Xenopus tropicalis: one gene and its partners. The protein of the gene in region 2 interacts with the protein of the main gene of each other region in a pairwise test. Links are inferred from orthologs where the notes say so. Each region holds a gene or a part of one and is shown on either strand. Other genes may lie near its edges.

Region 1 (3,656 bases), on a different chromosome or scaffold from region 2:
AGAGTTTGACTTCTGCCCTTTATCAACTTTTAAGTATAATATAGTTCTCAAATTCTTTACATATCCATACAATACTCATCATTTATTTTCTTTATCTCAGTAGCTTAGCTTTTTATAGTATTACCAAATATGTTATCAATCCATTAAGACTATGGCAAGATGGTTTATTATGGATTATTCAATGATGTTGAATGCACATCTGACTCACAAATATAACCATCAGTGGCCTATTGGGGGCAGGCATGCAGAACTCTTTGGTTGATGGTTATATTTCTTTGTGCTTGTCTGGAAGACATATAAAAGACACAAGGGAAACTGAAAGGATGCAGAAATATCATTCTTTTATATGTTTACCAGTAATGCTATGTTTTCCAGAAATCATACAGAAAGTTTTAGAATTACAATTCTGACTAATGACAATTGGTTGCTATAATATATAGTGCCCAAATGAAAACCTGCTGTTGTTTTTGTTAACATATGAGTCTGGAGTGCATTATGGTTGGTTATTAAACTGAAGGTGCATCCAGATGCTTTGCTTACCTCCTTCAAAGCAATATTCAATGACATAACCATCTAAACCTGCAGCTCCGATGTGATCTGGTGGCCTCCATTTCATTGTGACAGAGTTGTCAGTCACTCCATCTACTGTTAACATAGTGGGTGCACTTGTTACAGCTAAAGGAAGAAAGGGGATATGTTTATGTTCTGTTTTAAGTATTAGCGCTACAATGCTGTCCAACTTTATAATCATTAGGGAGTGATACATTTATCCCCTACACTTGTGTCCAGTTGGGCAGTAGAGTGATTAGTGGGCTTAGTATACACCATACAGTGTCAAATCTATCTACATAGCCTCCTGGAATTGTCAGAGAGCACTGTAAGTTTTATTACTAGCAGCTTCATAGATAAATAATGTATACAGTATAAGGGTTATTCTAAATTTGGCTATTTATCTATGTTTTGTCCCTACATTTTCTCAGCTGCAAAGAATCATTTGGATTGATTAACTGTTATAAACACTGTCAGTATAATACATACACGTTATTGGGCCAGATTGAATCTGAAATGCAGTTCTAAATTTTCTTATAGACTTATATTGAGTTTTTATGAGCTGAACCATTAGCTCATTCTGGACTAATATAGCCTACAATTGACTGAGGGGCTGATTTACTAATCCACGAATGGTCCGAAGGCGTCCGAATGCGTAATGATCGGTATTTTGCGATTTTTTCGTAAATTGTCGCAACTTTTTCGTAGCCGTTATGAATGTTTCGCAAAATGTCGCGACTTTTTCATAGCGTTACGACAGAGTGCCATTGAGTCCTATGGGAGGCTTCCAAAATCATGCTAAGTCTGAAAGTTTTGCCCGCAGTTTATGAGCGCTCAATACGAAAAAGTCGTGACAAGATACGAGCAAATCTTAACAGCTACGAAAAAGTCGTGACAATTCGCACAAGTTGTAATGGTTACAAAAAAGTCGCGACAATTTACGAAAAGTCGTAACGGCGACGAAAAAATCGCAAAAAATACGAAAAAGTCGCAAAATGTTCGTTTTCCAATCTGAATTTTTCCCATTCAGATTTGGATTCGTGGGTTAGTAAATCAGAGTGTGTGTGTTTTCAGGATATAATCCTGCCAGTGTCTTTAGAAACAGAAGTTGATCCACTCAGATTAAAGCTACTGTTGCATTTTCCTGATTTATAAAACTGAGTAATGAGCCCAGTTTGCTGTATGAAAGTATGCAGTATGCAGTATGAAAGGACATTGCAAGTTTACTTACCCAGTGGTACAAATGCTTTAGAAGGAGGACTGGGTTTAGATGTGCCAATTGAGTTAACTGCAAATACCCGGACTTCATATGCCACACCTTCAATCATTTTTTTAGGCTCAAATGTGGTTTCCTTGCAGAGGTCAAAGTTTAACCGCATCCACCTAGAACTTTGTTTCTTCTTTCTTTCAATAAAGTAGCCTTATAAAACATTAAAGAACAAAAAAGTCACATACTCAACCGAATTACAGGGTGATTCGAATGCCTAAGGGTAATGGTACATTGGGGCTTTTGTTGCTCACTCAAAATAACCCCATGGGTGGGTGACACAATACCCACAAATAGAATTAAAAACACCTTTCTTTAGCCAGCTGAATCACATAATCATATGAAAATAACACACTATAGTAATTTCACACTATTTAGCAAGCTATTAGGCAACTGCCATACCCTCTCCTGATAATTCTATTCAATACAACAGTACTACTGGGGACATTGTAATTCTGGGTAGTCAAAAATGTCCTATTTGCTATTACGTTTAATGCAGCAAAAGAGGATTGAGGAACTATGTTTATGTTTTTGTGTACATCACACTATAGGTCCATTTAGGAACACAGAGACCTGGGGTGCACCTTTTTGTTCAGCAGTGCTATATTCATGTAGGCATGTAGGCCTCTTGCACCCCTTAGTGCTCTAATGTACTTCTGTCTGGGGGATAGGTAAATGACCGCTTATATGATCTTTATGGAGAAAACACATAACTTTTCACTTTTAGTTTATAAATACAGTAGTTATACACACATTTTCAAGTAACTTGTTCTCTTGTTTGCCACTCTCTTCCTTGTTAGAAAACATAATTTGCCACTTTACTGTTCTATGTATCTTAGAATCCATCAAAATGTACCATCAGAGTTCACTGTGCTACCACTATTAGTCTGTTCTTGCTGTATTTACATTTCTAAAAGATGGTGTACTTAAATATATAATCCACCCACAATTAACCTATATGTTTACTTACCCAAAATAGGACAGCCACCATCATATATTGGGGGATCCCATTTCATAGTACACCAGTCTTCCCCAACTTCTGTTACATCAGGAGCTGGTGGGGGATCTGGAATATCTGAATATAAATATATTTTATTTGTTTTAAATATAAATATACACCTAATACATATTGCATTCAGTTATTAAAATCTGATATATGACTATGCAACATCAGCCCTAATACTAAATTTGAAATATATTTGTTAAATAATGTTGTTTACAAAGATTGAGTGTGGACCCAATATCAATGCTGCTGCTAGTAGGTTGATAGAGTGGAAGCCTGGAGATACCACCATCTCGAAGGTGACGGTAACTCAGATTATACACAGAGAAAACACTTTTGAGGAACAATCCTTTTTTTATTAATACTTACCTACAACCTTTATTTTGATATGAGCTACTGCTTCTCCTGCCTCATTCTTAACCATGATCCTGTAAGTACCAGAGTCTTCCCTCTCAGCTGAGTCAATGACCAGAAGTCCATGATCAGGATATGATTCTGCACGGATACGACCACTCAGTTCTGTGATCCACTAGGATAAAAAGTTACTCAAAGAATCAGGAATATACTGTGACCATAGTATAAACATTCAGATCATAATCAATCATGCATGCTAATTTTTTTTCTATTTTTTAGGAATTTATTGTCCAATTTAGTAAAAATAAACCTTTAAAAACACACGTTATCTATTTTATTTTTTATCTTGACATAAGTACCTTTTTTCTCTGAAGGATAGACATGTTTTTTGAATGAAGAAATGCATGAGAAACCAAGTGCTATTTATACATGCAGCTATTCTAGCAACATATTACGCATGGATGTATCTACAGTATATTCTAT
Region 2 (4,260 bases):
GCTTACCTTGTACCCCGGGCTGGTGCCCCTGTTAGGAGAAAACAGCACCAGCCCGGGGTAGTTGCGAGCGCTTTCTTCTTCCAGTTTTGCGCGCCGGCCCATGAATTTTGCCGGCATAAGAAACGCGGAAGAAGGAATCGCTTGCTGCAGGTACCCCGGGCTGGTGCTGTTTTCTCCTAACAGGGGCACCAGCCCGGGGTACAAGGTAAGCGATTTAATTCACTTGGGGGTGCCTAACATTTTGGCACCCCAAGTGACTTAGCCTTTCCTTCTCCTTTAAAAATAAATTCTACGTCTCCAAAGTTCTTCCTGTAACTTCTTATTATTTATCTTGATCTGTTCCTTCTGATTATGCCTGGCCTATCAGGGTGCCAAGAAAACCCCTTGGTGGACCCAGGTGATTGGTGGTTTTGTATGCCTATATCACTGCCATTCCTCATTCCTGTATGAGAAAAGGGGATATAGAAACTATGGAGAGCAGGATAGATGAGTGTATGTAACATAAATAAGGTGAGTAAATAGTAAATCAAAAGTATAGACAGTAGGGCTGTGATCCAAGCCTTTCTGGTAGGCCCCTGGCATCTCAGTCCAACATTGCTAAACATCCTCAGTCCTGCAAGGGTAACTAGTGATTTTAAGAAGCACTGAAAAGGGCCCATCTATAAGAAACTGTGTGGTTTTGGTCTCCAGTTTTTTTAAAGGGATGTCATTGATAAAGGAAGGTTCAGAAAACAGTAACAAAACTCAAAGGATATGGAAAGTCTAAGACATTAAAAAAATACTGGCCAAGTTGGGTTTGTTCCAAAGGAGAACCAGTGCTTTTAGAGTTAGGATCACTATTTATGACTATATGGAAGGACAATACAGAGGATACAAGGGCATCCCATGAGGTTTGACTAAAGGAGGTTGCCTTTTAGAGTACAAAAAGGGCTTCGATAACAGAATAAAAGTATGAACTAACCCTTTATGTAAATTTGGCCTGGACTTGCAGATCGCAAACAATTTATCCCCTGACATCTCTTTGTATCCTAACAACAAACTGCTCCAAATAAAAACCTGGCCAGTTGCTTGGAAGGCTTGCCTTATGTCAGAGGATATCTAGAGAAAAGTGACAGATGCAGTACAAACAATGGCGTGCCTGAGTTCTGACGGAGCTGTCACAGGCTGCATGATAAACCCCACACAGCATTTGTCCGCTCCATATCAGAGTCATTTATTTAGGATATGTTTGCTCTTCAGCCTGTTGCCCAGACAACAGCTAAACCTTGCACTGTGGAGCTTCAGTTGCCATTTATGAACAATGAAGTCATCTTTATTGCCAATTACTGCCCTATTATTCATATATTCCCTAACAGGTTACATGCTAGGTTTTAACTGAATCTATAAAAGAATCAATCACACAATATAAAGGATAAGTACTGAGAGCACGCTAAGCTCCAAGAGTGATATGCTGTAGTGCAGGTGAGGGCACAGCAGACTTGGTTTCCACTGGAATTCCACACTGTGTCCCATTAATAGATGAGACCCACATTCTCCTAAAGACCTTATGTTTATTCTCTTCAGAGCGTAAGTCATATGAATAAACACTAATCTACAGATAAATAAGCCTTACTGCAAGGAAGGATTAGTGTAACTATACTTTAGTAGAAATTTTGACTTATTAATCAGCATGTGCATTACAAACTCAGCAAAACAGGTATGAAAAAAGTTCCAGGGGTGCTGGAGGTTTGTTTGTCTATTTGGTAGCCCCTATACAATCTGGCAGCCTACAGAAGGTTCTGTTTGGCTTTACACTGGGGTTTTTATGCAACAAAAACTTAATTAAAAAAATTAAAAAAGCTTAATTAAAAAATAAGCACCTGCTTTGAGGCCACTGGGAGAAACATCCAAGGGGTTGGTGAGCAACATGTTGCATACGAGCCACTGTTCGGGGATCACTGGAATAGCTCAAAGAGCTCACTGGCTTATATAGGGGTCTGATATACAGGGAAAATGGCCTGAGACACTACAGATACAATAGAAAGGCTAAACAGGCTCATTGCAGTATCAGTAAGAACAGAGGAAAAGGCAATCACCAGAAATGTCTTTACCACACCATTTACTCAGTCATTAAGGGGTTAGGTGGAGTGTAAGAAAATGTTAAATGAATGATCAATAGATACAAACATCAAATGTGTCTGATCTGTAATGGCATACAGTATATTTATATTTATTCTTTGTTTTCCCTTGATATAGGTCACTAGGTGTGACCAAAACGTTGGGAATTTAAATAAAGCCTTTTTGATTTTTTGTAAAATTCCTGTTGAGTGTGAAACCTTTGATTTATATACATATATATATACTCATATACACATATATTTATAGCTATGCTACAGAAACCCATTGGAAGCAATTTAGCACTTTGTGGTCTGAACACACACAGGTTATTGTAATCTGATCATGTTTATCTGCTGTTCTAGTGTCTCAGCTGTGTAACACATTGACACGTTGATGCAAAAATCAAACTCTAAAATACACTAACTTACTCAGCTATACCATCACTACTTCTAGCTGTGCCTAATATCCCTTTTAAATACACAAAATGAAAATTAGTCTCCATGCTTCAAAATTTAATCTGCAACAGATACCTCAAACCCCCACTTGCATCCTGTCTGAATACATAAAAATTGTGTAGAATATAATAGGATACACTTTAAAACAATATTCTGTTCATAAATATTTGCTGCAGTATGTAAACACTGTCATTTGGTCACATATTTAAATCTCATGTATAATACACTGCACAAATTATTTATGAGTTAATAAAATAACAGAGGAAGTTCTACATTTATTTACCTGAATGCCTTTCAAATGCCATTTGGGAACGAGAAATTCACAAGCAGCCTCCTTAGCCAAGTGGTCTGTTCTTTGGTTGATACCAAATGTACTGTTTGATAATGTATGTATACAGGGAGCTATTAATAAGGAGTCAGATGCAAAATGTTCACACCCCCCTCCAGGGATTTCTTGTTTAATCCTACTTGAAAAGCAAGACCATTTTTGGTTATCTTTTGAGAGAAGAATAGAGTCCAGAAAAAATCGTGTACACATAAAATGCCCATGCAACTACTCAGATTTCTAAATTAGCCACCCCATGAAAACACAGGAGTTCAAGCCCTAAGGAAACCTAACACCCCACTTAAATATCACAGAACATTTTCCCTGCCTCAGATGAAAGTTCAGGACACAAGTCCACTGTAAAATAATATTCCAGTGTTTGTAGATTTCTGCCAGGTATATACATCCTTATTTTGTTTGGAGTATAAGATATGAAGTGCTTTTCTTAAATTGGGTTGAGACCCTCACTGTTCTTAATACATTTACCATAGTGAAACTGAGTGATAAACTATACAATATGAAGCTGAGTCAACTGATTTAACCTTTTAACAGACCTGTCTTTATAAGAGGACAAGTAGTAGCAACTGCTTTATGATCATCTAAACAATGGCCAAAGGCCAAACAAATGTAAAATGCTGTGCTCTGCATCGCCAACAACAAACACTGGATGGATATGAAGTGCAATATGAATACCTTTATTGAAAGAGATCTCAAATCAATCCCTAAACAATATACAATAGTAATAAAAAATAAAATACATTAGATGGACGAAACAGCACCCTCTCTTATCCCACAAAAAGATTGTAGATGGGGCCCCTCAAAAAGGCTAAGATATTTTAGTTAAGTAGAGTGATGTTCAAATAATAATAACAGAAATGGGAATTGTACTCATCCAGCTGTACATAATTATGAATCTATCACTCCTCACTATAAGAGCACTTAAGGCATAGTAGATACACAATATAGTACAAAGTAAAATCAAAGATTAAAGATACATGACAAATAAAAACCTAATTTTCCTATTTCCATCTGGAAATTTTAACATTATGCAACAATTATATATTTTTTTTAAGTTATGAATGCCGATAACTGCAGTATATATATATATATATATGTATAAAACAACATGTTATAAATGTCACACTTCTACTTCATAGAGCATATTGAGCTTAGTGGGACAAGCACGTGGGTTAAACTCACAGCCAGTGAAAGAACATTAATGCAAAGACATTTCTGCATGTGCATGGTGCACAGGGGATGAATTATTCAATTTTCTTAGCATGAACTCCAGTTTTGGTGTATCCCGTTGTTATTACTATTTACGGTATTTGGATAAATATTTATCACCCCTGTACTAAAGGTGTGGGGCACGTGCACCTAGAA
Region 3 (3,656 bases), on a different chromosome or scaffold from region 2:
AGTCAGAGCGGGGGGACTCTCTGAAACCGGGGAATCACTAAAACCTGCCATACTGTGGGGGTATTCTGCATATTGTTCTTCCTTCACAGCATCCTGTTCAGCTACAGAAGCAATTTCTGCGGTAAGTGTTGTAGTAACATGTGTGGGACTTTCTGCAACATGTTCTTTCTCTGTATGTTCATCAAACATAACTGTTGAACATTCTGAAATTTGCTTTTCATCTTCACTTGAAGCATTAATGGCAGCCTTGGCAGCTGTGGCAATATTGTTAGCCTGCTCCACTGGCACCACAGGGTCACTTTCTGTTGCCAACTCCTCTTTCAAAACAGAAACACTTTCTATTGCCTGTGTTGCTACAAAAATTTGTGAACTTTCATCAGTCTGTGTTTCAGTCAAAACAAAAGTACTTTCATTTTCTTTCTTGTCAGCAAAAATCACGGCACTTTCTGTAACCTTTACATAAATGTCCGACCTTTCTTCAACCTGCTCCTCTGCTAAAAAGATAGCTCCTTCTTTAGATTCTAAATCATCTGAAGCGTATGGATGTTCCAGGGTTTCTTGCTCATCTGATATTAAAGCAACTTCTTTAACTTGCTCTTCATGAACAGTAGAGGCACTTATGTTAGATTGCTCTTCACTCAATTCTTTTAGTAGCTCCTGTTCCAAGATTTGAGTATTTCCTTCAACAGTCTTCTCAGGTGCAATGTCTACTTGCTCAACAGCAGAAATTAAGTAATTTAAGACATGCTCTTTTACAGGAGGAGCCTCAACTTCTTTTGAAATAGGTGTGACTTCCTTAAAATTGTATTTTGCAGGAACAGGCTCATTATCTTGTGATGTTATGGAAACATTGGCACATTCTTCAACCGTATTTTCAGACAAAATATGAGCACTTTCATCCTGTTCCTCTGCAGTATCAGCTATTTTATCAGCATGGCTTTCACCAACTTTTACTTCAGCTGAACCAACACTTGTTTCCTCTCTTGCCTCTTCAAGCAAAACAGAATCTGCAAGATATTCCTTTGTGGCTACTGGGGCATCTGTATCAGCCTGATCTGCAGGCTCAACTGAAATGACAGGAATTTCATTAATGTGTTCCACAACAGAAATTAAGTAAGCCCCATCCTTTTCTATCACTGATTTAATTGCTGCTGAAATTGAGGTGTCCTTTTGATCATGACTTTCTGCTAATACAGTGGTGCATTCTTCAATCTGCTCAGCTGAAGTAAGGGTGCTTTCTATACCCTGCTCTTCAGCAGAAATGCAGGTACTTTCTTCAACCTGTTTTTCAACCAAAGCTTGAGTAGACTGCTCTGCCAATTCTGCAGCCTCATTGAGGACTTGATCTGGCACATCCAAACTCTGGCTACCCTCATCTTCCTCTGGAACAGGTGTAACTTCTTCTGTGGGGGTAAATGAGTCACCTAACTGTGAAGCAGCAGATATCATTTCTGTTGTCTCTTCAGCACATGAATATTCAATTGCTTCTTCAAGAGCAGTTAGAGCTTCGGAAGTTAATTCCACCTCATTTATTATAGTGTTTCCGGATCCTACCATCTGTGAAACTTCACCAAAAATAACAGCTTCTTCTACTGTAACTTCAGACTTTATTCTTTCTTTTGTACTGGGCTCTGTAAGTTCATTTGCTTGCTCAACAGTATCTGTGACACTTGCACTTATCCAAGAGGGGGCCCTATCTTCCAGACTGGTAACAGCTCTCTCTCCCTCAACAACAGTAACAGTAATTGCATGAATAAGGTCTTCAGAGGTATTCTCTGGTGTTTTTGCTTCATCTTTTGAGACATCAGTCAAAGCATCTTCAGTTTGCTGGGCTTCACGCTTTTCCTGCTCAGCTGCATCAAATTCAGACAATGGAACTACTGCCGGCACATCAGAATCATCCTCCATTGCCTCACATCCTTCTACTGATTTTCCAGCATCACTTATTGCAGCGTGTTCCTGCTTGCCTTCTGATTTTTTCTTTTTACGCCCAGGGATTAGTTTTTTAAATGATACCCATCCTTCTTCCTTTCCAGCCTCCCCATCTGAAGTTGGCTGTTCAGTATTAGACACTACAGCAGTCTCTTCAGTTTTCTCCTCTGCCCTGGTTCTCGATTTTCTCCTTGGAATAACCAGTCTTTTAAAGGACTGCCAAGTTGACCCGGCATCTCCTTCAGCAGGGCTTGTTGCTTGGTCTGGTGAGGGGCTATCATTTACTTGTTCCTTTTCTTGTGAGCTAACAATAGGGCCTTCTGGTTCACATTCTTTACTTTTATCAACATCTTCCTCTATTTTTTTATTCTCTTCAATGTTTTTTTGTGTTTCTTCCTCATCTGAATCAGATGTCTTTCGTGCTCTTTTCTTAGCTGAGCCAACACAGATTAATGCTTCCCATGACACTGAGTTGTCAACTTTTTTCTTATTTTCTTCTGTACTTTTTTCAAGTTTTTGTTCTTCACCATTTTCTTTGGCTTCTTCTTGATTCTCAACTGAACCAGCACTCTCAGTAGAGGACATAGTAGAAGTCTTTATCTTTTCAACTTCTTCTTCTTTATCACTTTCTGATGGTCTTTTGGGTCGTTTTTTAGGAGTGACTAGTTTTTTAAATGATGCCCATGGTGTAATACCCTCTCTTTTTCTCTCCCCATCAGATGTGGCCCCATCACCTTCTGTTTCTACTGCCTGTAGAGCATCTTCTGGCACTTTTTCTGTGGGTGAGGTCTCAGCTGACTCCTCAGGAGAAGAAGGTGAGGTATTGTCTCCATCTCCTTCAGGCATGTCTGATGATATTGGTACCTCTAAGGTAACTTCTGTCTTAGTGTCATCTTCCTTCTTGCCTTTATGCTTCTTTCCAGAGAGTTTCCTTAAACCAGTTCCACTGAAAAGCTTTTTTAAAGGGCTACCTTGTAGTTTAGCTTTTTCTTGTGATGACAACAGTTCAGTTTCTGTCATTATAGGTTCTGGACATATTTCAGCTTCTGTCCTCTCTGTGTTTATAGCTGCCTGGGCCTGTTCAGCATTTGTTTCTTTGTTATCTTTGTCACAGGTGACTTCAGTGTCAGGTGCCATTTCTGAAAGTGTTTCCTTTACTTCCTCTGTATTAGCAATAGAAGTGCTGACTACTGTAATTTGGCTTACATCTTTATCTTCTGTAGTGTCAGCTTCTTTCTTTTGTTCACTAAACTCAGTTGGCACTGGAACAGCATTGACTACTTCAACAGAAGTTTCTATACTTTGTGTGGCAGATACTTCACATATTTCTACATTTTCTTGTTTAATGTCTTCTTTGGGAACTGACAGTTCATCAGCTGGGCATTCTTCTGGCTTTGCTAATTCAATGGTGTTGGGCTGAGTTTCCTTATCGACAGATGCCTTTAATTCTTCAGTTTCACTTGCATCCTTTGGTAATGTTTCACCATTGACTATTATTTGGTTCTCCCCAGCTTCCTCTTTGGCTTGAGATTCAGCTTTTTCCTGTTCTTCACTTATAATATGCTTTTCTACTTCCTGATGATCCTCCTCCTTTGACTTTCTGAAGCTCGTCTTTTTTCTTAGTCCAGCCCAACCCTGTGCAAAAAATTTCTTTAGTGGGGAAGATGTTTCAACAACAAGTGGGTTGGTTGGAGATTCTGGTGTTTTGACCTGTTCTTTTTCTA

The links.
Region 1: the proteins of fhl1 (region 2) and mybpc1 interact in a two-hybrid assay, tested with the Homo sapiens proteins (2 studies listed by BioGRID and IntAct). The link is inferred for Xenopus tropicalis from reciprocal best matches to the Homo sapiens genes FHL1 and MYBPC1.
Region 3: the proteins of fhl1 (region 2) and akap12 interact in binary tests that used the Homo sapiens proteins (3 or more experiments, as listed by UniProt). The link is inferred for Xenopus tropicalis from reciprocal best matches to the Homo sapiens genes FHL1 and AKAP12.

The regions. Positions count from the first base shown.
Region 1 is NC_030679.2:48,935,854-48,939,509, reverse strand, and holds part of mybpc1 (myosin-binding protein C, slow-type), read right to left. Parts: intron 3,349-3,656; coding exon 3,189-3,348; intron 2,892-3,188; coding exon 2,787-2,891; intron 1,970-2,786; coding exon 1,781-1,969; intron 676-1,780; coding exon 541-675; intron 1-540. UniProt on the Homo sapiens protein: Thick filament-associated protein located in the crossbridge region of vertebrate striated muscle a bands. Slow skeletal protein that binds to both myosin and actin.
Region 2 is NC_030684.2:68,791,329-68,795,588, reverse strand, and holds the start of fhl1 (four and a half LIM domains protein 1), read right to left. Parts: upstream 2,923-4,260; 5' UTR 2,858-2,922; coding exon 2,836-2,857; intron 1-2,835.
Region 3 is NC_030681.2:44,978,561-44,982,216, reverse strand, and holds part of akap12 (A-kinase anchor protein 12), read right to left. Parts: coding exon 1-3,656. UniProt on the Homo sapiens protein: Anchoring protein that mediates the subcellular compartmentation of protein kinase A (PKA) and protein kinase C (PKC).